Linked DNA regions of Tribolium castaneum. The protein of the gene in region 2 purifies or fractionates together with the protein of the main gene of each other region. This does not show direct contact. Links are inferred from orthologs where the notes say so. Each region holds a gene or a part of one and is shown on either strand. Other genes may lie near its edges.

Region 1 (15,550 bases), on a different chromosome or scaffold from region 2:
TTAATTTAGAATTTTCAAAATGTATGTTTAGATCAACGTCATTTAATTTACAATAAGGGCCCTAAAACGGAGCCTTGGGGTACCCCTAAAGTAAGTCTTCCACAGTATGATAATAAATTATTCAGTTGAACAATAAACAGAATTTTAAACAGTTTTACTAAAAACCCATAAACTTAAGTTTGGCACAAAGCAATGAATTATTTGTTTTATCAAAAGTCCACTAATGACAATGCAGTATATCCAGTAACAGTGTATCTGATAGTTATCTAAAGTATTAGTTAATGAAGCATTTGTACTGAAACCTTTTCTAAACCCCGATTGGGAAGAAGGAAGAATATTATGAAAAATATAATTTAATTCTTTACAGATTTCTCCCGAACATTTTTCTTGTATCTTTAACTGATTCGCAAAATACGGGACGAGGCGCAAATTTTAAATCTTTAATAATTTTTCCCATGTTTCTTATAAAAATTTAGCCACCAGTTTTTCTCAGTCTCTCAAGAATGCAAAGCTTAACATCTCTACAGTAATTAGTGATTTGGTTGGATTTCAATAAGTTTAAAACGAAGCGCCCTCATTTTTACTCTGCCGTACTATTTTTTGCATACAGAAAATCCATCAAGTTAGTCCTCCGTGTCATGATAATTGATTTAATTTACGGTTCTAGGAATAATGCGCTGTTTAAATAGTAAGCAAGTTTTGTAATTAGAGCCAAGACAAGGGTAAAAAAGTGTGAGACAATAATTTATAATTGGTAATACAAGTGTTTCACAGAGTTTTTTTTCTTAATTTGAAATCAATTATACTATGGTTTGGGTTTAGTAGACGCAAACACACGTAACTATTTTTTACCAAAAGAGAGACATGACATTTGAAACGTAATTCTTGATCAAAAACAACGCCCGTTAATTTTATACTTTTGGCAATTTTTAATTTAGAAATTTCAAAATGTATGTTTAGATCAATGTCCTTTAATTTACAATAAGGGCCCTAAAACGGAGCCTTGGGGTACCCCTGAAGTAAGTCTTCCACAGTATGATAATAACTTATTCAGTTGAACCATAAACAGAATTTTAAATAGTTTTACTAAAAACCCATAACCTTAAGTTGGGCACAAAGCAATGAATTATTTATTTTAACAAAAGTCCACTAATGACAATGCAGTATTTAAACCAGTAACAGTGTATCTGATAGTTATCTAAAATATTAGTTAATGAAGCATTTGTACTAAAACCTTTTCTAAACCCCGATTGGGAAGAAGGAAGAATATTACGAAAAATATCACGTAAATGCCAAGGAATATGGGAGTTTTCACGAGATTTTAAACCAACATTTTTTACTTTTTCCACAACATTTTATTAATCTTATTTAGAAAAGCCGTTTTCTTGGTCTCGCGGACTTTTCTAAAAGAAATTTAATTCTTTAAAGATTTCTCCCAAACAGCGTCTTAAAAAAACAGGACGAGGCGCAAATTTTAAATCTTTAATAATTTTTCCCATGTTTCTTATAAAAATTTTAGCCACCAGTTTTTCTCAGTCTCTCAAGAATGCAAAGCTTAACACCATTTATTTAAACAATAAGTTTAAAACGAAGCGCCCTCATTTTTACTCTGCCGTACTATTTTTTGCATACAGAAAATCTATCAACTTAGTCCTCCGTAACATGATAATTGATTTAATTTACGGTTCTAGGAATAATGCGCTGTTTAAATAGTAAGCAAGTTTTGTAATTAGAGCCAATACAAGGGTAAAAAAGTGTGAGACAATAATTTATAATTGATAATACAAGTGTTTCACAGAGTTTTTTTTCTTAATTTGAAATCAATTATACTATGGTTTGGGTTTAGTAGACGCAAACACACGTAACTATTTTTTACCATAAGAGAGACATGACATTTGAAACGTAATTCTTGATCAAAACCAACGCCCATTAATTTTATACTTTTGACAATTTTTAATTTAGAATTTTCAAAATGTATGTTTAGATCAACGTCATTTAATTTACAATAAGGGCCCTAAAACGGAGCCTTGGGGTACCCCTGAAGTAAGTCTTCCACAGTATGATAATAAATTGTTCAGTTGAACCATAAACAGAATTTTAAACAGTTTTACTAAAAACCCATAAACTTAAGTTTGGCACAAAGCAATGAATTATTTATTTTATCAAAAGTCCATTAATGATAATGCAGTGTTTAAACCAGTAACAGTGTATCTGATAGTTATCTAAAATATTAGTTAATGAAGCATTTGTACTGAAACCTTTTCTAAACCCCGATTGGGAAGAAGGAAGAATATTACGAAAAATATCACGTAAATGCCAGGGAATATGGGAGTTTTCACGAGATTTTAAACCAAAATTTTTAACTTTTTCCACAACATTTTATTAATCTCCCAAACAGCGTCTTAAAAAAAAACAGGACGAGGCGCAAATTTTAAATCTTTAATAATTTTTCCCATGTTTCTTATAAAAATTTTAGCCACCAGTTTTTCTCAGTCTCTCAAGAATGCAAAGCTTAACATCATTTATTTAAACAATAAGTTTAAAACGAAGCGCCCTCATTTTTACTCTGCCGTACTATTTTTTGCATACAGAAAATCTATCAAGCTAGTCCTCCGTAACATGATAATTGATTTAATTTACGGTTCTAGGAATAATACGCTGTTCTTTGCAGAGATCTTTCCGGAAAGATTTGTTTGACGACGCAGCGGCGCGATTAGAGCGCCTGTCAATCAAAACTCCGGTTGAGATCGAACGGTTTAAGGCCTTGGCCGATAAGGCGTATCACGTGTATCAAAATAACCAGAAAAGTGATGACTGGATGAGCGACGCCCCTGACGAATTCAAGGATCCCTTAATGGACACTTTGATGACTGATCCTGTGTTGTTGCCCAGTGGGCAGGTGATGGACAGGTCCGTCATTATGAGGCATTTGTTGAATAGCAGTACGGACCCGTTTAATCGGCAACCATTGACTGAAGATATGCTGCAGCCAGGTTAGTTTCAAGTTGCTTTTTCGTAGGGGAATTAAAAATTTGGATGTTGCAGTGAATGAGTTGAAGGAGCGCATTAGGATATGGAAATCAGAAAAGACACGTTCGGCAAATTAATTTTATTATTTTTTGGTATAAATATAATTTTTGGATAAAACTGAGTTTATTTCGACCGGAAGGAAGGAAGGCTGAGAATCTCGTTTCGTTTGCATTTGTTCCTCAAATTCATACTGCCAAATTGTTGCTTTTTTAGTTCAGTAATTAATGCCAACTTATTGTTTGTCTTGACTTTCCCCCAGTCCGGTGGATTATTTTTGTACATAATTATACAAAACGCAAAGTGAGATGTACATTTTTTTCATCTAATCGAATTAACTGTTAGTGCAAACAAATTTGATTGTTTCCCGATATTTTTTCTAGATAATTTTAGGTTAAAGCTTGTAGACACCGAAATAATCAAATTTATTTGTAATGAAAACAAAGCAAAACAATTTTTATATGAAAACGTAGGTTAGTTTGTATGTAATGGGTCAATAAAATTTATACAAAAATCAGATATGTGTTTTCGTAAAAGCCCTATCATGCAATACTGTCTCGGTAACTAGAGGTTTGTCCGACAAAACAGCTCGTAAGTAAAAAACGGTTCAGGACTAAAACTTCCGCAGGAACAAACCTGTAAATCCCACTAGACCAACAATTTTAAATGCTATGATTGTGCTATTATCACTACCGAAAATTGTGCTAAAGGCTGTCCCTGACGCGCTTTGAATAATTGATTAAGTCATAAGCCCCGAACAAGCCGCCAGGTGGCCAACCCACACACTACGAATAAATTATTTGATATTTTTACGCAGACTTTTCCGTTATTGTCAATTGAAGTAGTCTGAGCAGTGACTGGAAGAGATGCGATTGCAGCGCCCCCAAACGTCAAATGGCGCCTACTACCACTACCAAGCGTTTCGTTTAATATTAGTCTAGACACACAAAATAAAAACAAACGGAAATTATAATGATTTACTATAAAATCTCTTACACAACGTCATACAAAACTCATCAACATTAACAATAAATTAATCAGCTATAAAAATACATGATTTATAATTGGCCAATCAGGGACTAAACCCCGCCTTGAAAGAGCCAATCACCTGATTAGGTTCAGTCACGACCAGAAAGAATGTCACCCCTACGAACCACAGCAATGATCTTTTAGGTCATAAATGTAAATTTCACATCATCGAGTGTTTTCTCGACTATTAGATTTTAGGCCCCAATGATATTAAAATCGTATAATATACATGTAATTAGAGTCGGCGTACAGAAAACAAGTTAAAATTTATTCCAACGTTAAATTAATTCAAAGTAAGTTACCATTTACCTTGCATTGACAAAGTCAATCTATAGGAGTATGTTCATATTTGAAAACTAAAACAGTGAATTTATAATTAATTCCAATAATAATTTTTCATTTAAAATTTAAAAAATTGTTTCTAAGCAAACATAATAGTTATTTAACTATTTGGCATTTTTCAATACGAAATGTCTGACTATTCTAACAGATTTAAAGCAATTTCAAGCCTTGTTGAGTCAAATTCGAAAAATAAATGTTGTATTCAACTCGTTTTCATGTAAATCGATTAATAAAATAATTTTTTTTATTACGAATATATAGAATTGGCCAGCAAATATCGAATTTACCTTTGCAAAGTCAAATCAGTCAAAAATCTGTTGCTTCAAAACTGTAAAGTTTACTTTAAATTTTGAGGTTTCCAATTTTTTTTTTAATTTGGCCAAATAAATGAATTTCTAGCTTAAAAGTGTAAATTTTGCAAAACCTTTAACTTTGTACACATTTTCTGTGAAATAATTTTTCCACGGCCAACATGGCTGCTTTATCCGGCTCGAAGGACCAAATATTAGTAAGTTCATATTGATAGAATCCATAAATGGAGAAACATCGTTATTATTTTTTGCAACCGTTTTGAATAAAGAAAAATTCCAGCCGAGGCGAAGCCGAGTTTCTTTAACAACTTGCGGTTAAAAACGGATGATTCGTTTTAAGTAAGACCCCATTTTCGGTTTGTCTGTGAGCGACTTCGTCCTTTTGTATAATCACTTTTTTTTAGAATTTTATTGGTAAATACTTGACAAAAGACTAGGACTTTTAGAAACATTAAATTAAAGGCAAAATTTCTAACAAAAAAAAGATTATTTAAAGATAAGTAAAAATTTATAACAAAAATGTTTCAAAAAATAGAGGGTACTATTTAAAATTTTAAATTAAAAGTGGCTAACAACTGGAACAGAATGTAACTAACGTTGGTTTTGAACTTTAGTACACCTACTTTTGTTTAAAAATAAGTAAATAAGTACTACTTAAAAAGCTAACACATTACGTAATACAGTTTTGATCATACTTGGAGTAAATAGACTACATTTATTAATTTACACGATTAGAATATCGTTGATGTTACAAAAGTAAAAACCCGAAATCATGTTTATTGACGTTTACGACCCAACAGTTTATAGGGATGACATTCTTTATGATCGTGACTGTTCATTGTCATAAGTACAATAATCTCGACGTAACAAACGAAAATGAGAAGGTATTGCGGCTTGGACCCCAAGCCGCAAACCCGCACTAGCGCCCCCTTTTGACGCAGTTCCTCAACACAGTAAAAAATAACTTAATAGAAATAAATACAACTAATAAGAGCTCGTACATCTATCTTTTGGTGACGTACGGCAGCGCTGGAACCAAACTACAGGCCAGCACGTACAAAACACCGAAAAACAAATTCAATTTGGCAGTCTTTTTGGGCACACTGTGTATATCGTTGGATCTGAACTGTTTTTCGATTTTAAAAGCGCTAGGAAGCGTGACTAGAGGCAACATGAACCATTTCGAGTATTTCAACGAGGCCACCATGAACATGATATACGGGGTGAACAACAAAAACGCGTACAAGACGTGCGAGGCAGTGTGGCCGATAATAATCGCCAGAGTCACAATTCCCACCTTTTTGTCCGACTCAGAGTCCCTTGTGTTATTACTATGTAAAATCGCCTCAGTATTAAGGGCCAGAGGGATGGCGTAGTAAATCGTCGCCCACTCGACGCGCCCCGTTTGCGACATGAAGGCGAAAAGCACCGAAATGGGGCCGAACAAAATCAAAATAAGCACATCCCCGAGGGCTATATACTTGAAGCCTATACCTCCCGTGTAGAGGAAGCTCGACGACAGCCCCCCGAAATAGACCAAAGCCAAGTGCTCCATCTTCGCGGGGCTCAACGCCGCCAAGAGAATGAACCCCACACAGCCGGCAAAGTATAAAAGGGCCCCCAGAGACACCACCTCGTCTTTGGTCAGAATGTGGTCCACCAGGATCCGGTCGTCCGATTTCCGGTTGTCGATCCCCTTGACGTAGTCGAAGTAGGTGTTGACGACGTTTCCGGCGCCGTGCACCGACACCACGGTGAAAATTGTGAGCAGGAGGGTGGCGTAGTTGAAATCGGTAACTCCGGGGTATTTGTACGCTATGGTGGAGCCCAACAGTGTGGGCATGAGACTGGCACTGAGGGACCACGGACGCAAGGCTAGCACGTAACTTGATAGCTTCATGAGGCCCGATTTTTGGCCGTTTTGGCGCTTGGGAGTGGTGGAGCCATTGGTGAGGAGTTTCTCGCTGGGGGTGGGCACCGTCATGATGGGGGTAAATGCACTGACACGGAACTTAACACACTTGATGATTTGTGGCCGAGAAACGCGTTTTTTCGTTTTATAACTTTGACAAACGGAACATAACCAAAGAAGTCAATTGTGACGTTTGACATGTGGCTGTGGTTACGTCACGGCGGCTATTAAATCAGGGAAAAATTATAATTAGTGACACGTTTCCGTTATCTATTGCTTAATTCTATTCTTATCATTTGTGTGTAAAAATGTTCGTGATGGCGTAACAACTGTAGAATAGTCGGTTATCAAAGAAGCGTAATTGTAGCCACTTCCAATTTACAGGGAACTGTATTATTTGTACCGACAATTTGAAAAAACAGTTAATTAGTGCCTTATTGCGTAAGTATGGACGAAAACCGGCCCGCAACGATATTATTTATAGCAAAACACGTCATTATATAAATGCTGCGCTTTTTATTTATAATTCGAATGACCACACATCAATATGACATAACCTCACTTTTGCAAATTACAAAAAATTAATTGCTTTTTTCGGCGACTGGGAAGCTAATTTGGTCCATCAGATCGTCGATTTTTGCCTGTAATGTCTCTAAAATATCGGCTGAAATAAATAAGTGGTTTTCATCCAAGTCCTGAATTATGAATTTTCGGCCTAGTTTTGTAGTCTCATCTAAATACAAAAGGAATTGTTTCATGGCCTGGTCACTGAAACAACGCATTTTTTAGGGGAAAATGTTCAAGAAAAAAGGTCTAAGTTTTGAGGAGAAAAAGGCTAGGATGTTGCAATTGTTTCACGAGACTGGGGATTTTTATCAAATGAATGAATTGGAAATAATTGCGCCAAAGGAGAAAGGAATTACGGCGAATTCTGTGAAAGAAGTGGTCCAAGCTTTGGTGGATGATGGTTCTGTTGATAAGGATAAGATCGGGAGTTCCGTCTACTTTTGGGCTTTTCCCAGGTAAATATTATACAGGGTGTCCGTTTTTTTGAGAAGTTGTGCATTTGTATGCAAAACAATTTCTGAAAGAAAATTTTATGTGCCATTTTTAGTTTTTGAATTATTGAGAGAAATTTAAAAAAATGATTTTCGTTTTTATTTTTTTCCCATAAAAAAAACGAAGTTAAGTGTTGTAACTCTGACATCAAGCAAGCCTAGGAAAATCCGATGACAAATTTAGATTCCTTGTAAAAAGTGCCCGAAAAAGTCCTACGTCTAGTTCTTTTGGTTTTCACTTGAAAAAATAAAAACGAAAATTACAATTTTTTTTTTCAAATAATTGTTCAGCATAAAAATGCGCAACTTTGCCCTAATTTAACCGACCTCGTATCTCTTATAATAACGGAGATCACTGAGATAACTGGGAGAGTGTCCGAAAAACGGTATAGACGGGCCAAAAACACGTTTTATCCTAATTACAGCAAATTACTTAACGCGAAAAAACGCAAACTTAACGAGCTTCAAACGAAATTAGAATCGTCAACAAAAAAATTGAAATTAATTGACGAAACTATGGAAAAAGCGCAGGTGGGGAAAGAGAATTGGGACGACAGCCAGATTTTGAAGGAAATTGAAAAACTGGAAAAACAGAAAGAAAAATTCGAATCTCTGTCGAAATCTCACACAGATACTCAAAATTTGAAATTAATGCAAAGTGAGATAAAACCGGTAAAAGAAGCAGCAAATCGATGGACTGATAATATCTTCGCGGTCAAATCATGGTGCAAAAGGAAGTTTATGATGGAAGATAAGGTTTTAAATAAGCAGTTTGGGATTCCCGGAGATTTGGATTATCTGGCATGATTGAGGTTATGTCAAACAAAAACTCAAAAAAATTGTTAGGGCCTTACCAGGTCACCAAAACGCCTTTCATTACATTAACCATTGTTGATAATCGAGAATTGTGTACTTTTTTAAATCAGAAATAAATTATTTTTCTTACAAAAGTTGGTGTTTTTATGACATTTGACAACTTATAGAATGCAACTAACCTCTCACACGTGTATTGCTGATTGCATAATCACAAATTTCCCCAAAATTATATTTTTTTTCAAGTATTTCTTTGAAAAAAGTGGATAAATTGATAACAGGGATTGCTATATAGCCCCATTTTGGAACCCTCCTGTGTACCACTTGACTGAATGATGTTGCACTTTTATTACATAATACCTAAATAAATTCAGGTACAAAAGTCGCACTCGTTATCGAAAGCGGATTATTTTTAAACCATCGGCACGATGATTTTCACTTCTGAGCCCTAATCTCGCCATAAACGATAAAATGATTAAAAAGTACACAAACGTAGCGGTGGGAGTCGATCATAGGTTACAAACTTGGACTTTCACCTAGTTATTGTATCGTTAATAAACCAAACAAAATCCGCATTACACACCACTTTTTACTCGTAACCGAACGCGAAAAAATGGCCCTAAACCTGTTCATCAAGCGAAGCCTTTCAACTTCAAGCCCCATGAACGCAGTTATAAAAAACGTAACTGTGATCGGGGGCGGCCTCATGGGCTCAGGCATCGCCCAAGTAAGTGTACCCCAAACCACCCGAACCTAACCTAACATTCGCCCCCTTGCTTAGGTGGCCGCGCAAACCGGCCACAACGTGACCATCGTGGAAGTCAACCCCGACTTGATCAAAAAAGCCGAAGACAGCATTGCGAAAAACTTGGTACGAGTCGCCAAAAAACTCCACAAGGATGACCCGCAAGCCGCTAATAAATTCGTGAGCGAATCGCAGGCCCGGATTAAGGGGTGCACCGACATTGCCGAAGCTGTGAAAGACAGCGATTTGGTCGTGGAGGCGATTGTTGAAAACATGGATGTTAAGCACAAATTGTTCAAAAATTTGGATGAGGTCGCGCCCCCCAAAACCATGTTTGCGTCAAATACGAGCTCGCTCTCGATTACCGAAATTGCCTCCGTTACGAAGAGGAAGGATAGGTTCGGGGGGCTGCATTTTTTCAATCCCGTGCCCGTTATGAAGCTTTTGGAGGTTGTTAGGACTCCGGAGACGTCGCAGGAGACGTACGAGGCCTTTATGGCGTGGGGCAAAGCCGTGGGCAAGACCTGCGTCACCTGCAAGGACACCCCCGGGTTTATTGTTAACAGGCTTCTGGTGCCCTATATAGCAGAAGCCATCAGGATGATGGAGAGAGGTAATAATTATGTAATATTGAAGCTCGAAGCGAAGCTGAGAGCTTTAAGGTTGCCAAGCTTGTGGCAAATACAGGCGTTCAATAAATCTGATACGACTTGAGTTACACAAAACGAAATGAATTTTTGAAAATATTTTTATTGCCAATAAGGCTCTACGAATGGAAAATAAATCGAGTTATAAAATACCGAAAAATTCTTCAGACTTCAGACTGTCAAGATGAAATTTAGGATTTTTTTTCCAAGTAAATTTATGTCAACCCGGTTTTTTTTCTTATTGGATTTTGAGGTTTTTTTCAAAAACTTAGCAAAATCTACTGGTGAAACAACATTATGATTAAGAACTATGTATTTGTTGAAGGTCATTTTTCAAAAAAATCCTCGAACAGGTCGAGCTTATTTTTGTAAATGCTACATGGTAACATTTGTGACATCACTGGTTTCTCAATAATGCCGCTATTTTTAATTTTTTTAAATGGGAATCGATATTTTTGGTTACTGTTTTTTATAGTAGATATTACTCTTTTATCTTTATAGTAAGTGCAAAAAATTGAAGTGATAAATAAAAAATTTAGAAAAAAAAAAAATTTTATAAGGGGCGATTATTTTTTTGCTTATTTTGAAAAATCAGAATAATATGAATTTTATGCGTTACTTTAGACACACTCTATATATCCAAAAATGCACAATATAGGGTGTTTTATTTAAAAAATATATAAATTTGCATTGTACCTAACATTTTTTGCTAATCTTTTATTGAAATATTTTAACATAACGACAGTTAAAGTTTGATTCAATAACTTAACCTTCACCAATATAAAAAAAATTAGCTGAAAACAATACTATCTTATAATGTTATATATTTTTTCTACTCCCATTCCTGAAGTGATTGATTAAAAATGTTTGTGACCTGTACTTTAATGAAAATCATTATGATACTGGCTTGTAACCAATGGTAATGCAGAGTAGTGACCACGAGGACAACTTGTGACCAATGAGAATGTAACATGGCAGCAACTATTAGATTGCCTTGAGTCTGACTTTAAAAATAAATTAATCATTTTGAAAAAAAATGCAAGTCTTTTAATTTTAATCAGTCGGATCGTAAAAAAATAGTGTATGTAACTCGCATTTAATTTAAAACACTCGTACGACACTCGCTAAGGCTCGTTTCATAAAGTTGCTATTTAAGTTGCATTAACCAATGTCAAATTACTAAGTATTCTGTTAATCATATACTAAAATTTGATTTTTAATTTTGTGGAAAAACAAATGTTTGAAAATTTCAATACACAAAATCGTTAATCTCGTTTCTAATTTTCTTTTTATAAAAACCCGATTTTTAAAATTTTACTATGAATTAATATTTTATTTTAGGTTTGTTATGTAAGCGAGCTAAATTTTTAAATTACATTTAAATAAATAATTAATATGTGATCAATGTTGTGGCAAATAAAGTTTTTCTAATTGTTAGTTAAAAAATTTGTAATTTGTATAGTTTCATTTTCAAAAAAATTTGCATACATAATTTTTAGAAATTTCTCAATATCGGTAAGTAGTACTTTATGAAGGCAAATACTAGTCAAGACAGTAACATCTCTAAATAAAAAAAATAAGGAAAACGGCATTACCTTACTATTTTTTTTAACGGCAGTATACAGTAATTACAAGTCAAAATTTTGAAAGGCTGTTAACACAAAAAATATGTATGAATTTTTTTCGAAGGTGATGCTTCGCCCCGCGATATCGACACCGCCATGAAGCTGGGGGCTGGCTACCCCATGGGCCCCATCGAACTGGCCGACTACGTGGGACATGACACCTCGCACGCCATCATGCAAGGCTGGCACAAGAAATTCCCTGATAACCCCCTTTTCAAACCGAACGAATCCGTACAAAAACTAATCGATGAGAAAAAACTGGGCGTGAAAACCGGCGAAGGCTTCTACAAATACACCAAATAAATATCTATATGTATTTTAATCAAATAAACAATTTTTTAATTGATTTGTTTACTGATGTCGATTTTTCCTCGTGTAAAATACTGTTGGCAAAGCCGCGAAGGTTCGATCGGATGTCATTCATGCCGTTCTATTTTCGTAAACCGAGTGATTTATTTTATTGAAAAGGTCTCCTCGAGTCGCAAAAAGTCAGTCATCGTTTTATTATCGTCGTATTGTCGCTATAAAAACACATCTTTAATGTGTGTTCTTAAAGTGGAGTGAAGGACGACTTAAAAATACATGCACAGAGATTGGGCGAATTAGCGGCGAGTACACGATTTTTTCGAGTAAATAAACTTTCGCGATTTCCGGTTGAAAAAACAATTAACACGTGGGTGCGAACGTTGATAACATTTCCGTGAAATCGCAGTCAATGCAATCGATACATCCTGTTTGAGGAGATGAGCGAAATTTATTTCGGCGGTAAGTTGAGGGCGGTTCTCGGTAATTCCCCTAATAAACACGTCATGGCAACAACAGACCTAAAAATCTAGTTCAAATTTCGCGCCACAATGCGTTGGCAATGAAAAAATTAAACAAACACTTGTGGTGTCAACAACAGTTGGCTAGATTAGCCGTTTCGTACAAATTGCCAACATAAATCGAGTGGGATTTTCTGGCGAAATTTCCATTTTTCATCACCGGAGAAAGGGAGTCAATTTTTTACTTCTATGGTTGGCGACAGTGCGCATGCGCCTTTTCGCGTATAAATAACTCGTCAAGGTGTCAAATTTGCACAAATCAAAGTGACGTGGTTTTGTTCACTGTGACGGTTCAAGATTCGCCCAAAACGGTTTTCTTTAAATAAAATGAACATCTTGCAGTGCTCTTTGTGCAAATTTGGTTACAAAATACGCAAATTTTGGTTCGAAGTTGAGTAGGTTAGTGGTTTTTGTGCCCTGGACTATCACCTGGAACTGGCCACATTTTTTATATTTTATGTTGTATTATTTTTTTGAGCTTGTGTTGGATCAAATTACATATTTATAGCGTCAAAGACCCCGCTAATTGTGTTCAGGGAAAAAGTGAATCATATTCTAAAAATATTCGTGAAATAATTTTTTTTTCATATTTTTTATTCGGGGGAAAGGTCGCGAAGGGGCTGTTGACCTCCGAACAAGCGCCTAACGGTCGTGACAATTGCACTTTTTACAAATAATTGCAATTATCAGAGTGACCTATTAAATTCGCCGATTTTTATACCGGGTGTTCTGGGAAAGTTATTAGAAAGCGTCTGATAAGGATTCATGTTGCAAACTTTGTCCCTAATAAATCTAATTCAAGTCAAGTTTAAGGCTCCCAAATTATGTCACTGGAAGATTTCGCCGACTCTCTTAGGCGCAAAATTTATTACTTGGCTTTAGTCATCAAGGTGACATTTTCCTTCATTTGCCAACGAGTTTTATTGTTGGAAAATATTTAATTTATCTCGGCCCCGATAATGAAAATACCTTAACGAGATTATTCAAGGGTCAACTATGTCTTGTTGAATAAACATTGCATTTTATTATGCAATTGAAAAACGTTTATCCTGAAACGTTAAAATAACAATCGAGTGATTGTTATGATAAGCGAGGCACTCAAGCGAATTTATGATGATGTTATGCGCTAAGTGAGTGTTTAATCGATAAAAATAATTTTTGTTTGCAATTCTAAAAGGATTAGGGGACATAAATTTGGCACCCACGAATTTGGTTCCCCACTTGGCCATGATAAAACAATTACCATGCATCTTACAAGCTTTTGTTAAATTCAGGGCCAACCAATATTAAATTATTTTGCAGTCATGGCGCGCGTGTAATTGTTTCGAACCCTTTGCAATGTGGCTCAGTTGGCCGTGAGAAATCGAAAGTTGCATCTGTCATTAGATTGTACCCACACGATGAGAAAAAAATAAACAAAAGTGACATTTGATAGGTCACAGCCGCCTCGAAATCGAAAGTTGCGTCAGGTCATAGCCGCCTCGACTTATCGCTTAATTCCTTTCAATTTGCGAAAAATTAATAACCCCGGCTTAATAATCGCATTTATCACATTTATGGTTGTTTTAGCCGATCAGATAAGCTTGAAAAAATGGGAAAATCAGAAGTCGTACCAATGCCAATTCATAAACAAGACAGCTTGTACGCGGGCTGTAAAGGTGCCGCCTTTTCGCTCGTTGATCCAGTGGAAGAAGATGAAGAGTATCTAGAGATCCCTGCCGATATGCAATTGTTCGAAAATCAAGTGGCGGGTCATATGATCAAGGGAAAACAATACGGTAACCAGTGTGTACATGCGAAATGTTGAAATTTACAAAATTTGCAAAAAAGGTATGATTAAGCACAAGGGCACTGTACTTAAACCCATCACCAAGCCGAAGTGTGGCCAACGCGAGGTCGAGTTTTACGAAGAAGTTAGCAAAGCCAGCGATGAGACAAGAAGGGAGTTGAAGGATTTTGTCCCCAAGTACTTCGGGACGGTTAAAGTGCCCATCAAGGGCACGGAAATCGACTGCATAGTGCTTGAAGATCTGACGAAACATTACAAAGAGCCCTGCGTCATGGACATCAAGATCGGGAGAAGGACGTGGGACCCCACAGCCACTTATGAGAAAATCGTCAATGAAGAGGTAACCGGCATTGGAAAAACGGCAAAAATTAATTCAAATTTTAGGCAAAGTATCAAGACTCGAAGCGCGACCTCGCCTTCTGCATCCCAGGTTTTCAAGTCTATCAAATTTACAACAACCAGTTGGCCAAGTTTGACAAGAATTACGGAAAAACTCTTAATAAAGACACCGTTCCGTTAGGTTAGTAAGGTCAAAAGTGAGGTTAGGACTTACCGACCGGTTGATTGAATTTTCGCTTTGGAAGTGCCGTTTTCACATCCAGAACACGTCAATTTTCATTTTTCTTGTCACTAGCATACGTTTTCGTTGTTGTTTGCTTGTTCTTAGGTAAAATAATTCGGAATTCAAAAATTTTTTCGACGCCATCACTTTTGTCAAATGTAACACTGCTACCAACCGGTCAGGGAATATTTTTCTACCAACCATGCTTTAATGACGACGAAATTCATATTTTTGGATCCAGTTGAGAACAAATTCTGAAAATCACATTTCCTGACTTATGAACACACAAAAACTCGTGTTTTTTAGTTAAATAATGCACAAATCGTCCTTAGTGTTTAAAATAAAAGTGAGGTTAGGGCTTACCGATCCAATTTCATTTCTCAAACTTTACAATTTTATTAAATAGGCCCCACGTAGGCACTTCACGATCATTGAACTCGTCTTTGACGACGGTTTTACACTTTTTTTAGAAAAATTACACTAAAATTCTCGCTCAGTTAAGCATTTGAAGTAGGATAGTACCGCCAACCTGACGAAATTGAAAAAAGCTTATTTTGCCCAATATTACAATTTTCCTTAAACAGTACAAGTTTCCTGGTCAGAATTGTGTTTTCCGACCAACGCAGACAATGTATTGTCCTATTACATTTTTTAGTTGATTGTGGAATTACCTTAAACCGCGTTGGTGTTGCCAACCTGACTTTACAAAAATTCAAAATTCGTTAAAAGTTATTTTAAATCGTTTTTTCGCAGCTTTGAAGACTTTCCTCAACGCCGAGACGTCCCCGCCTTGTCGCAGCCTAATAGTCCAATTCTTGGCAAGTTTATGGCGAATTCAAATGTGGGCCCGCAAACAGCGCACTTAC
Region 2 (15,644 bases):
CATTTCTGTATAATGAAGAGTCATATTCTGTAGCTGTGTCATTTCGCGGTTGTTGAGTTGGTCAATAATAAAATCAAATCTGCCAATATGTTACGATTCCTATTTAAATTTCAGTACCAGAATACGAAGTGGTTCACATCCACCATAACGTTAGACGGAGCATCTCGCGGGACATTCCATCAGACACCGAGAATTCGATAGATACGGACGAGAAGCCGAAATACGAAGATAGGAAAACCGAACTGAAACTGAAAGTCTTCGGCAAACACTTGAACCTAACTCTAATCCCGAACCGTGGACTTTACAAGAAGAATAAATTGAAGATATGGACGGTGGAACCGAACGCCACAGCCCAACATGGGGTCGAATATGTTGAACTGCCCGAGGTACGTGTGCACCTTCTTGTTGATGACTCTTTCGGAAATTAAAAGTGTCGTGTTAAACGGATAAACTGAAGCGCCTTTCACTTTGACTAATAATGCCGCCGTTTCCGTACGTAATCTCGTGAGAAAATCGCATTTTTGGGTAAATAAAGTGCCTTATTATGACATTGTCTCCGGTGGGTCTGTCGGGTTATTGAATTAAGCGAAAAAGTAGATGTCCTTGTTGGGAAAAAACCGAAAATAAATATTTATAAATGTGATTTCTGTCGATTTTAATCTTAAAAATAGCTTCAGTAACAATAGATTAGTGTCGAATTTTTATAAATAGTCATAAGCGATGATGAAACACGTGATATTGTTGTTTTAATAAGAAATGTTAAAATTGTTATTTTATTCGAATAGGTTTCATGACCTTTCCGCGAAACACGAATAATTTTCCGGGTGAGACGGACCAACTCAAATGCAGCCAGACTGCAGAAAATTGAACAATTATCTCGTCAACTTTGCACTAGAAACCGGGAGAAATTCAGGTGCATCGAAAATAATATCGTTTGTTGCGGATGTAAAATAATGACAAGTCATTAAATGAAGGGGGAAGTGATCGTTAAGACATTCTAATGGCTAATTTAATTTAAATATTTGACGCATAAAATTATTATAGAGAGAATTTTTATTTTTCACCATAGAAGGTTTCAGTGGCCTTAATAACTTGACTAAGTCGATTACGAGCTAAAAGGTTGGCTTCACCACAGTATATTAACTGCAATATAAACTTTGTGATTCATTGTAAGTAAACAACAAAAGACGTCTGCATGTTAATAAACAAGAATTTTAGTGTGAATAGACCGGACGAAGGTTGTTCCGTTTCCTATCAGTTTTGTGATTTCTTTATTAATAAACATAATATCTAAATGTTTCTTATAAGCAAGCTTAATTGTTTATCGAGAAATGGTAGCCGTGCAATCAATATAATGAAATAATTAAATCATTTTGTAAGATCAGCCACTAGACAATTTTTTTAATAATAAAACTAGAAAATTAATGGCAAAAAAAAATTAATTCTTGCGTCTCAGACGTTGACTTCTTACTAACTCAGAATTACGCGAAAATGCAATCTCTTTCGGTTTCAATTCCAATAATTTTTTTATTTAAACAACTCATTAATGTATTGCTGGTAAAACTATAAATATTTTAAGTAAAATGCTTCATTATACAATCACTCAATGACTCTTCACTAATAAGATATAATAATTTAATTATTAGATATTATTAATTCCCTCTGTAACAAATTAGTTAGGTACATTTTGTTATGCTATAGGAAGTACAAGATTTATTATATCGTTAACGCTTTTCTTTATTTTGTAATAAATAATAAGCCATTACTCATTAATTTTTTATTGACAAATTTATTAAGTTACTAGTGAATATTCTTCTATATGGCGAAAAAGACGTATTAAGGGTGTATCTGTGACATAGTTAAGCAAAAATTATTTGAAAAATTAAAAGCCAAATTATTGTTTCCTTCAAAGAGTTACATTCCATCCTTTTTAACTTTTATATAACAATTTTTGGTAATGTTACAGACATAACATGTTAATTCTATTGCTGTATTTAGTTTTGGTTTAATTCCAAAAATCACTTTTAAATAATAGCCCATTCAAATTCCACCATTCTGTGGAAAAAAATCCCAGAAAGTTGAATTTTTTTAAACGTTTCTTTTACACTTGGGTAGACAAATATAGAAAGTCCCCAAGGGTGCGTGGCAAGCTCGAAGAAGGGGAGGGGGTTAAGCTGTCTTTTTTAGTTTTTCGCTTATAACTCGGAAAGAATCACTCTTCTTATCAAAATTAAAGCTGTTAAAATTTCCTACAAAAACGTCTTATGCATTTTTCTTGTAGGAATAACCATAAGCGAATTATAGGACTGGAAAGAAATTCTATTAAATCTCTGGGTTATCCTTACATGCGGAATTTTGGTCTTCAACTAGAGAGCCCGAGAAAAGAAAGTATTTTTCTTCCTTATTTCCCTTTCTTAGTTTAGTTGGGGACGCTTTACATACACTATTTCCATATAAATACTTATGATATACTAATGTTTAATAATCCAGTGTCATGTAGACACCAAATTTCAAAAGCTAGTAGCTCACCTACGGTTAGTCCTACAACAATAAGACTAGGACCATTTTGTAAAAAAATTTATCAACTTTAATTTTGGTAAGAAGATAAAAATTGCTAGGAGTGATCGTTTCCGAGATATAATCAAAAAAACAAAAAAGACAGCCTCCTGCCAAGTGTAAAGAAAGCTTTTAAAAAAAATTCAACTCTCTAGGAATTTTTTTACACAGATCGCCTTATTTTTGTCTAATTTGACTGAATTTAATGTTTCAAAAATTTTTATCTGATGATGGCAATAGTTGATTAACATAGGTATAAATATTTTAATTATCACTAAATTCGGTCGAAAAAATGAATGAAATTCATCGATTAAAATATTAATAATAAAGTTTTGTTGTTCCTCTAAAATAAGATATCTTCCCAATATAATTGCATAGAACAGGATGCTCAGTAAGTACGTCTGTATACAAAAAAAAAACGCTGCAAGCTATGTTTCCATTGTTGTTTATCTAATTCAAATAAATATAAATGCCAAATGCTACGAAAGAATTTTTAAGACTAGCTTTCTACACCTTTTCCAACTGTATTACAGTTTCAGAATAGCCAATAGTATTTCAGATAAATCAAATGAAGTTCAGAAAGTATAATTGAATATTTCCTAAAATACGATTGACTAATCTGAAAAACATTCGCTACTTTCTGAAATGAATCTGATACATTCTGGACTATGATAGGAAAAGGTCATGAAAAGCTGTAGAAGCAAAAGTCAAAATAATTCCAAATTTCACTGATTTTACTGATATTTGAAACAGATGTTTCGGTTTGTCAAGTTTACTACTGTGATTATTTGTATTTGTTTAGTAAAAAAAGAAAATGTATCGCAGTATATTGAAAGAAAAATGGGCAAGAAAATAATTATGTAAAAGTGAGGATGAAAGGGAATCATTTGAGAAGCCGATGAGGAAACAGTCAGTCAATTCGAAGCAATTTAGCCTTAGACCTGTTCAATTTGCAATCGAAACCATCAAAAATCGCGACTGAACCACCATAACCGTCCCATTATCGAATCATTGCAACTCAACAATAAAAAAGCTGTATGCTAATAAAATTACTTAAAATAATTTCGCAAAATCGTTGAATAACCGAAAAGTGCAATAAGAAAGTTCCTTTTTATCTCGCTTCCTCGTACTAAAATTTCCACCGCTTGTGAAGTACGTCTTTTTATAGAAGGTTATGGTAAAAATTTTTGTTTACATCAGCGTCGATTTTGAAGGACAATTATTTCATGCCGTGGCTAAGGTCGTGCTTTTTTTCTCTTGAAGCATTGTGGAGAAGTGAATTTTTCAATCGGATCGAAAAATAATGTGCAATCGAGCGTGATGTCTGTTGGCCAACTGAAACCGCCACGGATTGAATCATCAGTGCATTTTTTGGGCCTTGTGGGGAATAGTTTCCTTATTGGCTTATAATTATAATCGGGCGACAATGACCCTGACGATGTAGCTCACCTCCGCCGAAACGAAGACGAGCAGAGATTTTAACAGATTTTTGAGTGTCATGTCGGTTGGAATTTTCGTACAAGCCGTCCCAATGTCAGGCTGGCAAATCCCATAAGCAAATCCCAACTAGGTCAAACGCCATTAGGTTAGCTAACAGCTTTCACTCTCGTAGGTATTCTGTTATAGCAACAGACAAACTTCACCGAGAGGAAAACGAAAATAGCTCAGGGCTCGGTCAAGGATTCGTCAGTTTTTTATCATCGCTGATTGTTTGGGAGGTGTGACGGACCTTCGATTGCCAATTGATTCAGTCTTGCCGACACCCTCCATTTCTGAAACCGTCACAATGCGAGCTTTGTCACGGATTTTATTACAGTCACACGACGAAATCCATTGTTCTGCAATTTTGACGGTTAATTAATGACGAAAATAAACCTAGTTTCGCAAGCAGGCCCCATGAGTACGATGTTAAAGGTGGCTTGGGGGCGTACGGGCTTTAAAATCGAGACATGTAACTTATGTTTCTTGTTTACGTAAATTGCCATGTTGCGCGAATTACAGAACGAACAAATGGTTCGTTTGGATTTTTTGAAAGTGGCGTGTGGAAATACGTATCAATGCTACAGGATGTGCACTTTAGATACGTTCGGTTCTGGAAATATCAGACATCCGAGACAGGTGGCCAACACCTAGGCGATAAAGCCATGATCTTGACATTTTCAATAGAAATGACAATATTTTAGCCAAAAACAAGCTACGAAATTGCTAGGAATGTATAACAAGCTAGTTTCAGACTTGAATTTATACGACAAAATTATGTCAGCGTGTCAAAGACAGGTACATGTCCCAACAATGAAAATCAATTAAAATTCCTTTACGTATTCAAAAAAGCTAAAAAATTCGTTTGAAATTCATACAATCCTCCTCATCTAGGTAATAGATTATAGTCACGTTGCAACTCGGAAAATCAATTATGCATGATTTGTGCTAAAATTGCCTTTAATTTGCTCGACACTTAGATTATTCTCATAATTCCAGCAACGTTAATTGTCCAAAAAGTTAACTACTCCCATTTAATAACAGTTTAAACAAGTTATTCAAGCATAAATGTATGATAATTTGATTGTTATTTTATTCTTTAATTCCTATTTTAAGTTTCTTTGTAAAAGCAGAGTGAAAATTGTTACCTGTTGTGAAAAACCTACGTTTGCCACTAAAATCTATTTTTACGAATATAACAGGATTATGAAAATTATTTGGGTTCATAGCGGCACAAACCTTGCCGAAGAACTTTCTCTATTTACGAACATGTTATTTCGTTATAAAATCTCTCCAATATTTATTGCTTATTGGCTTTGCTGATTGCAATAACAATGTTTTATTAAATAAAGTTCTATCCTGATTCCTCTAGCTATTAGAAGACGGTAAATGTATTGATTATTTAAATTAACCAACAGGATACAGATATGAAAAGTTAAATATTTATATGCTCAGACCTTATATTTTTATTTGATTTTTATCCGAGACTGTACGCTTGTAAGTTTTAAGTAGTGTCATTGATCCTAACTTTTGCATTTTTATAAGCATTATCTATTAAATCTTTGAGGTTTACGACCAACCTTCGTCAAAACACCGTGATGTTTTCCGTACAACAAACAGCTCGTACTTTTAATTTTTAACGGGGTTAGAAACCTTCATAAACTGCGGATTAGCACTTACATGGTAATAATTTCTGACCTCTTAAAAATATACGAGAAAAAGCATTTTCGTGGCACAAATTCCAGTTGAAATAAGACATAATCAATCACAATTTAATGCATAATTTACGACTTGTGCAGGTGAACATAATTCACTCGGCAAAATGAAAATATCGTGAACATTGCAAAAGTAATGAAAGATGTTTCATCACATTTCTGATTTGTTCCCTTTAAGTAAAATTCATAGATCTCAGTATTTAACTGTAACTGGAAATTAAATAGAAACAAAAATTGCAAAATTATTTGTATAATTGACTTTTCTCTTCATTTCTGAAATACGTAGCCTCGGAAGTGTTATTAATAAACTGAAAATAAAACTATTTTTTTGACAAAGTCGTATAGGTAGCTGAAACCCCTTAGTATCAAGATAAAGTTCTTTCATTTAAACAAGAAGTGTTTTTCTGGAAAAGTGTAAAAGCTAACGAATAATGAAGAATCCTTGGGTTATAATAACAATATAAATTTCCTTCCAGTATTCAAAAATTAAATAATGTAAAATATTACAAAAATATGGTAACATTAAAAATTTATTAGATTATTATGTACATCAGTGGTCCATGTTAGCATAATATATGTTGTCAAAAAACTTTAGCTTGAATTCACAACCAATAACACTTGCCTTTAACTTATTCTGATTCACTGAATCTAATAATAAACTAGTAGTTCAAAACAAAACTCACTCCTAATCAATATTTCTGAATTCGTTACTTTACTCCCATTATGCTTCCACTCCCATCTGCATTACCAAAGGTGTGAAAGAAAAAAAAACAAAAGAATCTGAATGGTTCTATTATATCTTCAATAATGTTTATATAATACCTCTATCATAAAGTTATTTGTGCGTGTCATCGATGTAATAATATATCGGAAATGTCAACCACAAATATTAAATAACACTAAACATTTTGATTTTTCCTTTATTGTACATTTGTAATTACAGCAACAGTTATTATAATAGTCATACCTTCTATTTAAAATAGCATTGAAATGTAAAAACGTAGTTCACGTAAAAATAGCATCATATCTTATGAAATATTAATAACTTCCATTATTAGAAACTAAAATTCACAGTTTAGATATATGATCAAACGTAATAAAGCTATCAAACATTGTAAATGAATTAAAATTTATTCAGGAACATATTGTACGTACACAGATGGTTCTCATTCACACAGTGACACTATAGGAAGGTTTCTTAACTTAAGTTTCACTATTATCAATAAAAAAATTTTTACTTCTGGATAATGATTAATTCCGAAATTAATTAATTGTAAGTAAAAGTAAATGCACAGGAAATAGTGCATATGTAACTAACATTTAAATAAAATAGACAAATATGGCACGAAACATAACTACGCTTTCTGTAGTTGATTTCTTTGATTTTCTTCGAGCTTTTTCAATCAGCAAAATAACTAAAACTAAATAACTATTCTACGGCCAGGCGAAATGTAAATATTTAGTTTCGTCGAGAGTTTCGTGTACCAAGTCGCCAAATGCCATGTTTATTCAATGGTTGTAGACAAATAATTCTTTAGTATATAGTTGTTGGCACATACTAGAAGATGGAAAATCATGCTGCAAATATTTTGGTAATTCGAAAAAACGAATGCCTTCCCGTCACCGTGTAGTAAACCATTACGGAGCGGGCATTTTACATAAATCTACTTGTTTGAGTTGCGTTCCTGCATTCCTGTCGCTAGTTTATGCGCCAGTTGGGTTACATTTCACCGATATCGGAAATAACTCAAACAAAGCGAACAAAGCCGGTCAAGCCTTGCCGAATGAATAAATCTCTTCTGTTTTCAGACTGACGAAGATATCGGCGATATCTACCAAGACGAGGAAAACCAAGCTGCCATTTTGCTGAGGAACCACAACGATACCGTGATTGTGGTAAGTCTGATGCAGAACCTTGGCCTTTCTGTCGTTTTACGTAAAAGCAAGTAACAGCAACGGCAAATTGCGATAATTAAAATTATTAATCGAGCATGATATTGCACAACGAGATCGGTTCCAAGTGGCCAACTCGTTACCAACGTTGCGGTCAAGATAAACTGGGCCGAAATTTCCATACTGGCAATCGAAAGGCGAAAATACAACAGAAGTAATTGTAACAAGGAAAAAAATCGGAAAAACAAGAGCTATTTATTGGTCAAAGCAAGGTAATAAACGGCGGACAGGAAATGCGTTGCACAAATAATGTCACTGAAAGTGAAAACAACAAGGTGGGTTTTTTATCGGGACAATTCGGTACGGGTAATTTCTAATGGCTAAAGCTGTGCAACCGGAGAATTAGATCCTTTATTGACATTTCATGATGAGACCGGAGTTGCATAAGGAGAAACGTTCTCACGGTGGATGGGCCGAATAATACGTTTTCGTCAATTAGCTGCGGTTTTGGACGTTTGAACTTATCAAATCTCGAATCGTATAAAGGACCCCAATTACTCCATCAATACTGAAAGTTGCACTCTGTCGTGCTGTAAATTAGTCAGAGATAAAATCTTGTAAAATCATCACACAAAAAGGTCAATTTATGTAAAATTAAGGAGTCTCCGGGTCGCTGTATCTGGTTTCAAACTGTCAATGTTAATTAACGTGAATAGTTTGATACAGAAATTTCGTTGCCCGATCAGAGCTAATGGGAAAGCTATACGGCTAAAGGTGACCAACTGATCACGTTTTTTTACTTAACCTTTGAACTATCAAATGGTCGAAACATGATCCACTTCTAATTTTTCAACGAGGTTTTCAATAAATATTGCAAAAACTATTAACTTGTTAACACACCACCAAGGCAGTTAACTAAAAAAATCGAGACAAAAAGTTAGTCAACACCTATTGTAATCATTAGTCAGTAGTTCTAATGATTTTTAAATCTGTTGAGTTTCTTTTCCTAAAAAGAATAAAATCGAGAATAAAACTTAAAACAGTTTTGCTCGACTCTGAAGGATTTGGTTGGGTCATAAAGTAACAGAGTAATTAGCACACTTCTAAGACAAGAATGGCAATCACGCAATCATTTCTAACATACATATTTGTACATTTTTCACAGCGTATTCGCATTTTTTGCTCCTAATTAATTGATTCTTTAATTGATAAAATAAGTAAGCGATAAATTAAACAACTACAGTAAAGTTGGACCGTACAGCGCTTTAACTAAAAGCACATTTAATTGTGAGAAAGGATTAAATACGGGAAAACAAAACGAGTAAAAATAAGGGCGCTTTCAGCGTTGGCCCCCAAATTATTTCACATTAAACTAGTTCACTAAGGGCCGGTTTGAAAAAGCTTTGTTAAAATTTAATCCGTTGTTAAAAAAATTCAAATTGGTCGAATATGGTCACGTGACCAGTTAATCACGCATTTAATTGCAGATTAAATCAATGACGCTTCTATAAACCGGCCCTAATTCTTTGGAAAAATTGCAGGGCCAATAAGTCGTAATATAAGCTGAGAAAAACACACGAAAAAAATATTAAAGACCGGTTTATAGAAGCGTCATTAATTTAATTCACAATTAAATGCGTGATCACGTGACCAAATTGAGCCAATTTGATTGGTCAACTCGCGTTATTAACTTTTAACAACGAATTAAAGTTTGATGAGGCTTTCTATAAACCGGCCCTAAAAGTTTTAAAATAAGCGCTCATATTTTTTTCAAAAAACTCAAATACGGTGCCGGGAGAAAACTTAAAAGCGATTGAAACCTAAACGATTAAAGATAGAGTTATGGTCTTCCGGACTTTTTTGAAGGAGCATTTTTTGTAACTTGGACAGTACTCGCTTATTACGAGTATGTCCATTGTGGAGAGAGAAAATTTCTTTTATTAGCTTTGTGTCTTTGACATGTCCAAGATTATAGTCACGACTTAATCTCAGTTAAAATACACAATATGCTAGTTCTATCAACTTGCTGACCGAGTTGTTTATAAAAATAACTAATTTAACTAGTGCCCATTGCGATTAAGTGTGAGAAAAAGTACTCGTAAATGTTCAATAGTTTGAACTAACTACCTATAGAGTTTTTCAAGTATTTTCCCAAACGTTATCGAAGAAAAATTATTTTATTAAACAAATTATTCTTATGAAATAATTTAAGTGAGCATTATTGTTTTAACCTTCCCGTACAAGTACATGGCATTACTAAATCTCTAATTACACCTAGATTTTAAAAGATATAAAAAATTACAGTGTTTAGTATCATGTCGATCTAGATATTATAATTACATTAAAGTTAACCCGCAGGACTAAGCAAATTTCAGTGATTATAATAATAATAGCGTTAAAGATGATAATTTTCTTAATACTGTTTAAATTGTATACAAAGAAAATATAAAAACTGCAACAAGCAGTGTCGCAACACGGATTAATTTTAGCACCAGTGATAATTTATGACAATACTTTTTATTCTCAATGTAATTTAGTTTATAATATTGCATAATTTAAAAATACCAAGGAGTAATAAAACCCGTTTGGCTACTAATATTACTATGCTGTGCAATAGAAAAAAGTCAGTGTTTCTTGTCAATCAATAAATCTTATAGATACATTAGAATATCAGAATTACCAGGAAGTAAAATCATACGGACTGACAATAACACCTTTATTGGAGTTTCTAAAAGCGCGAAAAGGCAACATGTGTAAATGTGTAAACATATAATTTACGACGATGATAAACCAATAATGCATATTTTTCCGGTCACTAATTTTACAAGTTGTGAATTAGCATTAACGGCGCCAATTAAATGTACTTATAATTTATTTGGAAAGTGGATAAAATATATCATTCAAATAAGACAATATAATTGGGTAATTTATGTTATGCGCTTATTATACTCGCAGTTTATGGCGTTTTAATTATTCGTGTATCACAAATTAAAATTAAATTTACGAGTATGTCACTCCCAAGCGAACCGAGCAAAACAATGGGAAATAATGGCTAATTAACAGCCAAGTGTTTTACAAATCCTGTCAAGTCTCGCTTTCGTAATTCCAATCAATCAACCCGCGTGCAATCATTTTAAATAACGCCGCACACGTCCCGCTAATTACAGCTATCAGCTTCCACATGTTCGCACAACTATCGAAAAACCTTGCCAACCATGTTCCTCTTCTCGCACGTCGAAATGTCTCTTGACCGATTTATCCGTCGGTTTTATTGCTCATCATTGACCTCTCGCCCATCCCAAAGCCGGAGAAGAAGTTCAAGGTCGCTGTTGACCATCCGTGTCCCATGAAGGGTCGCGCTTACCTCAACACTCTTGAACTCTTTCGGCGCTCAAAAAAGTCACGGCTAGTAAGTGAAGGTCCGGTGCGTTATTGTCTCGCACATGTATTTTTTCTTCGAACACAATGCGAATTTTAGTGTCTTCACCTTGACCAGAATATGTGCGTTTGCAACGAACGGCCTCACATCAATTGACCCATAATTGCTTATTTATGTTATTAGTTGGGTAACGCGCGTTAGGAAATGCTCTTTTCGACACTTTTGCGCAAGCCGATTGTTTGCATTGCAGGAGGGTAGCATCGGGGCCGATTTGGTCATACGGCCCATCCCTCCGCGGCTGCTGGACGCGAAAGACAAGCCCACGCACGACGATGACGAAATGTTCCTGGACGCGGACGGCGAGCTCAGCTCGGAAGTTGCAATCGACACGGGGCTGCCTATCAAGAGAAAAAAGCAAAAGATCCAAGGGCATCGACACATAGTGTACAAAAGGAACGGAAATCATGAAGATACAATGAGCGATTACGGTAAGAAGCATTTGCATATTGAGCGGTACTTATTCACTATTTAGCCTTGATGGAGCCCGACCATTTGGCCAAAAGACACAAAAGGAGCACCTCGCGCAAGAAAAGGGAGGCCCCATACACCATCTACCCCGAAATTTTAGTCATAGTAGACTACGACGGGTATAGGCTGCATGGGGGCGACAATTTACAAATCAAACGGTATTTCGTCTCGTTCTGGAACGGCGTAGACATGAGATACAAACTCCTCAAAGGACCAAAAATTAGGATATCAATAGCGGGGATTATAATAAGTAGGGTAAGTTCACTTTATTGAAACCTTAACTTTGAAATTAACATCATCATCGGTCTCGATCCCGATGTCTTCGAGGAGAGTTTTCTTCGATTTGGGGTAATTTTCGAAAATGGCCTCGATCATGTCCGTGCACCATCTCTTCCGTTTATTGTATTCTTTAAATACGGTCCGGTATTCCCTCTCGATTTTCTCTTTATCGAGCGACTCGCTAGTACCACCTTCTAGTTTCGACTCCATTTCTTCAACCTCTTCTTCCAGCTTCTTCTTCTTCTCCAATAGCTCAACCTTGCTCAACGTTCCTTCCAAATCTCGCAAACGGGCGCTCTTCTCCTCCAATTCGTTCTGAACGGTTTTGAGGGTTGCAGCAAGATTGCTACACTGGCGCTCCATTTCGAACGTTTTGGACGTCAAGTCTTTCAAAGGCAGTGACGATTTTTGCGGCACGCAGTATATTTTTTGTTTGCCACAGTTCTTCTCAATCACTTTGTTCTTCTCAACTAGCTTGTTAACAGCTGAAACAACTTGACTCTTACTGAGTTGTTTGTTGAACCCTTCCATTATGTTGTTGATGGTGTAGGGTCGGTTCTGGTCGTACAAAAACTGGAGGATTTCGTCCATGATCCTGAAATAACATTTGTTTTAGGGGCGGGATGCAACTCCGTATCTGGAACGCAACCGGGTGGGGAGGGACGCCATCGACTCGGCGGCGGCTTTGACGGACATGGGGAAGTACCTCTTCAGGGAACGGCGGCTCCCGGTGTACGACATCGCCGTCGCGATTACAAAGTCAGTATAACGCGGGAACTTATTTTTGGTTTGTTTTTGTCAGATTTTAACCACTTTGACTTAGGTACGATATGTGTCGACGTCGAAAAGGCGGCCGCTGCACCAAAGGAACTGCCGGTAATAAAAATTAAATCGCGTGTAAATTGCTGCTACTAACCCGGATCGCATACACCAACAAGATCCGGACTAATCGTTCTAACTAAATGTCTGACACGCAAAATGTGACGATTGTGGTGTTTAGGCGTCCGTGTTTTTGTTAATTGTTCTTTAGGTATAGTCGCTCTGGAGCTGAGGAGTAAATAACAACAAAACACACAAATCACACATTTAACCATATATGACCGGGTGTGTTTTTTACAGACTAGACATGTGCAGAAGGTCGTACCCCAACGATGTCTGCAATCGCGGCACGGCAGGTACGAACAGATAAAGGCACGATCACTTGTAGATTCCGAGTTGAATTTTCTCGATGTAGTGTTTTGGCACCCCGTTTCGATTACCACGCCCGCTCTATAACCCCATCCACATTACATGACACACAAACTCTAACTTGACTAATTCATTTAACCAAACTAATTGTTTGTTGATGGTGGTTCGAGTTTTGTGAGACTGCACAGAACTGCTTCAGGCTCTTCTGGTGATGGGATTTTTTCCAAAAAACTTTGTTCTAATGTGACTCTAAATAGGGTTTGCGTACGTCGGAGGTGCATGCGTGGTCAACAAAAGACTAGAAAAGGTCAATTCTGTTGCCATCATTGAAGACACAGGTGGCTTCAGCGGAATTATAGTCGCGGCTCACGAAGTGGGACATTTGTAAGATTCAAACCCCAAACTAAAAATCCTCAACTAAATTTTTCCCCACTATAGACTAGGAGCAGTACATGACGGAAGCCCTCCACCGTCGTACCTCGGGGGCCCAGGGGCCGAAAAATGCCAATGGACGGACGGGTACATCATGTCCGATTTGAGACACACGGAGCGGGGCTTCCGGTGGTCCCCTTGCAGTGTCTCCAGTTTCCACCATTTCCTCAAGTAAGTCACAATTTAACCAAAATTTTTCCTATTGATTGATGGTTGTGTAGTGGTGACACTGCCACCTGTCTCTACAACGTGCCCCACGAAGACGACAGTTTGCCAAGAGTCCTCCCAGGGAAACTCCTCACTCTCGACGCCCAATGTCGTAGAGACAGGGGAACAAGTGCATGTTTTGTAAGTTAGTCTAATGGGATAAAACTTTGGTTGAGGTGTTGAATTGTAGAAAGACGACCGGGTCTGCGCCCAACTCTTCTGTTTCGACGCCAGTAGCGGCTATTGCGTGGCCTACCGGCCCGCGGCTGAAGGTTCACCTTGTGGTGACGGCCAAGTAAGTCCCGCTTAAGTTTTTCGTTCGTTAAAAAATCCTGTTTCAGTATTGTTTGAATGGTCGATGCGTGGCTGAGCACGAGAACATAATCCCCGATTATACGCAGAACACACCGTCTTACATCCGAAGCGGAAACAACCAGGGTCGGCCTTTGTAAGTTTGTTTCATTGCCGATTATCGCCGGTTGTTTGTGACACAATTAACATGATTTACACTTACGACAGGTTTCACGAGGACGACGAAGAAGTTAATCAAAGACCCGAAACACCGAAATATTACGATTACACGACACCCCCCTACAACCCGAACCCACCCTCATACAACCCCTACACCACTCCGAGACAGTTTTATCAGTTTTCTACCACCAAGTCTCCTTACGATTTTAACGATTTCGCTAGGCAGTACACTAGTAAAAATCCCTACCAAACCACTGAATCTTATTACAGTCAAACAACCCCTAATCCGTATGTCGGTAATTATTATCAGTTGAGGCTACAGACCACTAAGAATCCGTACGATTTCGCTAATTTTGGAAGAAACAATTACGACATTAATAACAATTACTTGAAGCGGTCGTACAATACCGCTAATTATTACAGCGATAGTAGCAATGTAAGAAATAAAAGTGCCGTGTTTAATAGGGGAAGATAAGGGTAAGACTTTGTTAATCGCCATACGTCATCCTGTAATCGTCGTAATTAATCAGCATGGTATTTACGTGTTCACAGCTTATTTCAATCTCTGTTCTTTGTATAGTCGTGAAAGTAAAACTTTCCCCTTCGATTCTTATGTCAAATTTATTATCTCGATAAATGACGCTATTAACACAAACCATACAGACTTTATTACACTTACACTTTATCCTTCCTTGTGTACTACCAATAAAACACCAATTATTTACTCTCATTTTTGTGAACTTACTTGGGCCACCTAGCAATCACTTGTTCCAACCACAGCTCCGAACTCAACTTAGTTTGCACTTCCGAATGGTTCAGAATTGTGGTTGGAACAAACCTTTTGTGAATTGCTAAGGATGGTCCCCTCTGACTTTGTTGAATCTTGTTTTTCCGACTTGTGACGGTTTTTGAACAAAAAACTAATCTTACTTTGTATTTCTTTTCCAGTTAAGGGAATAAGCAACACACAAATACGTAAATTTAAGGTGTGATTAGGAATGAACCAACAATGGAGAATTCTGTGCCTTAAACAAGTGACAAACGACTATTTAATTTTATTTTTTGTTTGAAGGACTCATAAAACCGTATTGTTAAATTAATGGTAGTTTTAGTGTGAACAAATAGTTTATTTACTTGTATTTGTAATGTAAATAGTTTGTACGTTTAAAAATATACTGCCAATTCTCATAGCATCAAGTATTGTGATGAAGTATTTATGTAATTGTACCATATTTATCAAAATGGCAGAGTGCAATTTATTTTTAAGTCAAAATTTTACATTTGTTTGTTATTCAAAAACCAATAAAACCCATCAAAAAATACCAATTAAATCGTAGTTAAGTTCCTAAAGTCGCAACATGATTGTAAATGACTTTGTAAAAATTTGTATATTTGCCGCAATTAAAAATACCGACCAGCCATTTACTCATTTATTTCAACAAAACAAAATCATCAGAAACATACACAACTATTCGTAAATATAACGGATTTGCCACATTTTAATACCTACACCAAGA

What was found.
Region 1: the proteins of homologous-pairing protein 2 homolog (region 2) and meiotic nuclear division protein 1 homolog purify together in Homo sapiens (co-immunoprecipitation; 6 studies listed by BioGRID and IntAct, counting the BioPlex papers as one, with this or other methods). This does not show direct contact. The link is inferred for Tribolium castaneum from reciprocal best matches to the Homo sapiens genes PSMC3IP and MND1.

The regions. Positions count from the first base shown.
Region 1 is NC_087399.1:6,491,255-6,506,804, forward strand, and holds meiotic nuclear division protein 1 homolog, read left to right. Parts: upstream 1-6,923; 5' UTR 6,924-7,062; intron 7,063-7,117; exon of another isoform or gene 7,118-7,202; coding exon of another isoform or gene 7,203-7,389; intron 7,390-7,410; 5' UTR 7,411-7,416; coding exon 7,417-7,643; intron 7,644-8,104; coding exon 8,105-8,486; 3' UTR 8,487-8,533; coding exon of another isoform or gene 8,534-8,568; 3' UTR 8,569-8,629; downstream 8,630-15,550. Other genes in the region: Ube4B (ubiquitin conjugation factor E4 B), read left to right, coding at 2,672-2,993, 3,046-3,107; heix (ubiA prenyltransferase domain-containing protein 1 homolog), read right to left, coding at 5,713-6,693; Tfb5 (general transcription factor IIH subunit 5), read right to left, coding at 7,203-7,389, 8,534-8,568; hydroxyacyl-coenzyme A dehydrogenase, mitochondrial, read left to right, coding at 9,106-9,219, 9,274-9,850, 11,574-11,812; Ipk2 (inositol polyphosphate multikinase), read left to right, coding at 13,925-14,111, 14,164-14,462, 14,507-14,642, 15,438-15,550. UniProt on the Homo sapiens protein: Required for proper homologous chromosome pairing and efficient cross-over and intragenic recombination during meiosis.
Region 2 is NC_087396.1:15,588,544-15,604,187, reverse strand, and holds the end of homologous-pairing protein 2 homolog, read right to left. Parts: exon of another isoform or gene 15,080-15,644; coding exon of another isoform or gene 15,076-15,079; exon of another isoform or gene 14,807-15,075; intron 14,605-14,806; exon of another isoform or gene 14,603-14,604; coding exon of another isoform or gene 14,176-14,602; intron 14,105-14,175; coding exon of another isoform or gene 13,998-14,104; intron 13,952-13,997; coding exon of another isoform or gene 13,847-13,951; intron 13,798-13,846; coding exon of another isoform or gene 13,671-13,797; intron 13,621-13,670; coding exon of another isoform or gene 13,456-13,620; intron 13,402-13,455; coding exon of another isoform or gene 13,275-13,401; intron 13,244-13,274; exon of another isoform or gene 13,005-13,243; coding exon of another isoform or gene 12,949-13,004; exon of another isoform or gene 12,757-12,948; coding exon of another isoform or gene 12,746-12,756; intron 12,706-12,745; coding exon of another isoform or gene 12,653-12,705; intron 12,589-12,652; coding exon of another isoform or gene 12,446-12,588; intron 12,425-12,445; coding exon 11,812-12,424; 3' UTR 11,806-11,811; downstream 1-11,805. Other genes in the region: sona (A disintegrin and metalloproteinase with thrombospondin motifs like), read left to right, coding at 115-386, 7,560-7,646, 11,273-11,510, 11,555-11,805, 12,446-12,588, 12,949-13,004, 13,275-13,401, 13,456-13,620 and 4 more. UniProt on the Homo sapiens protein: Plays an important role in meiotic recombination. Stimulates DMC1-mediated strand exchange required for pairing homologous chromosomes during meiosis.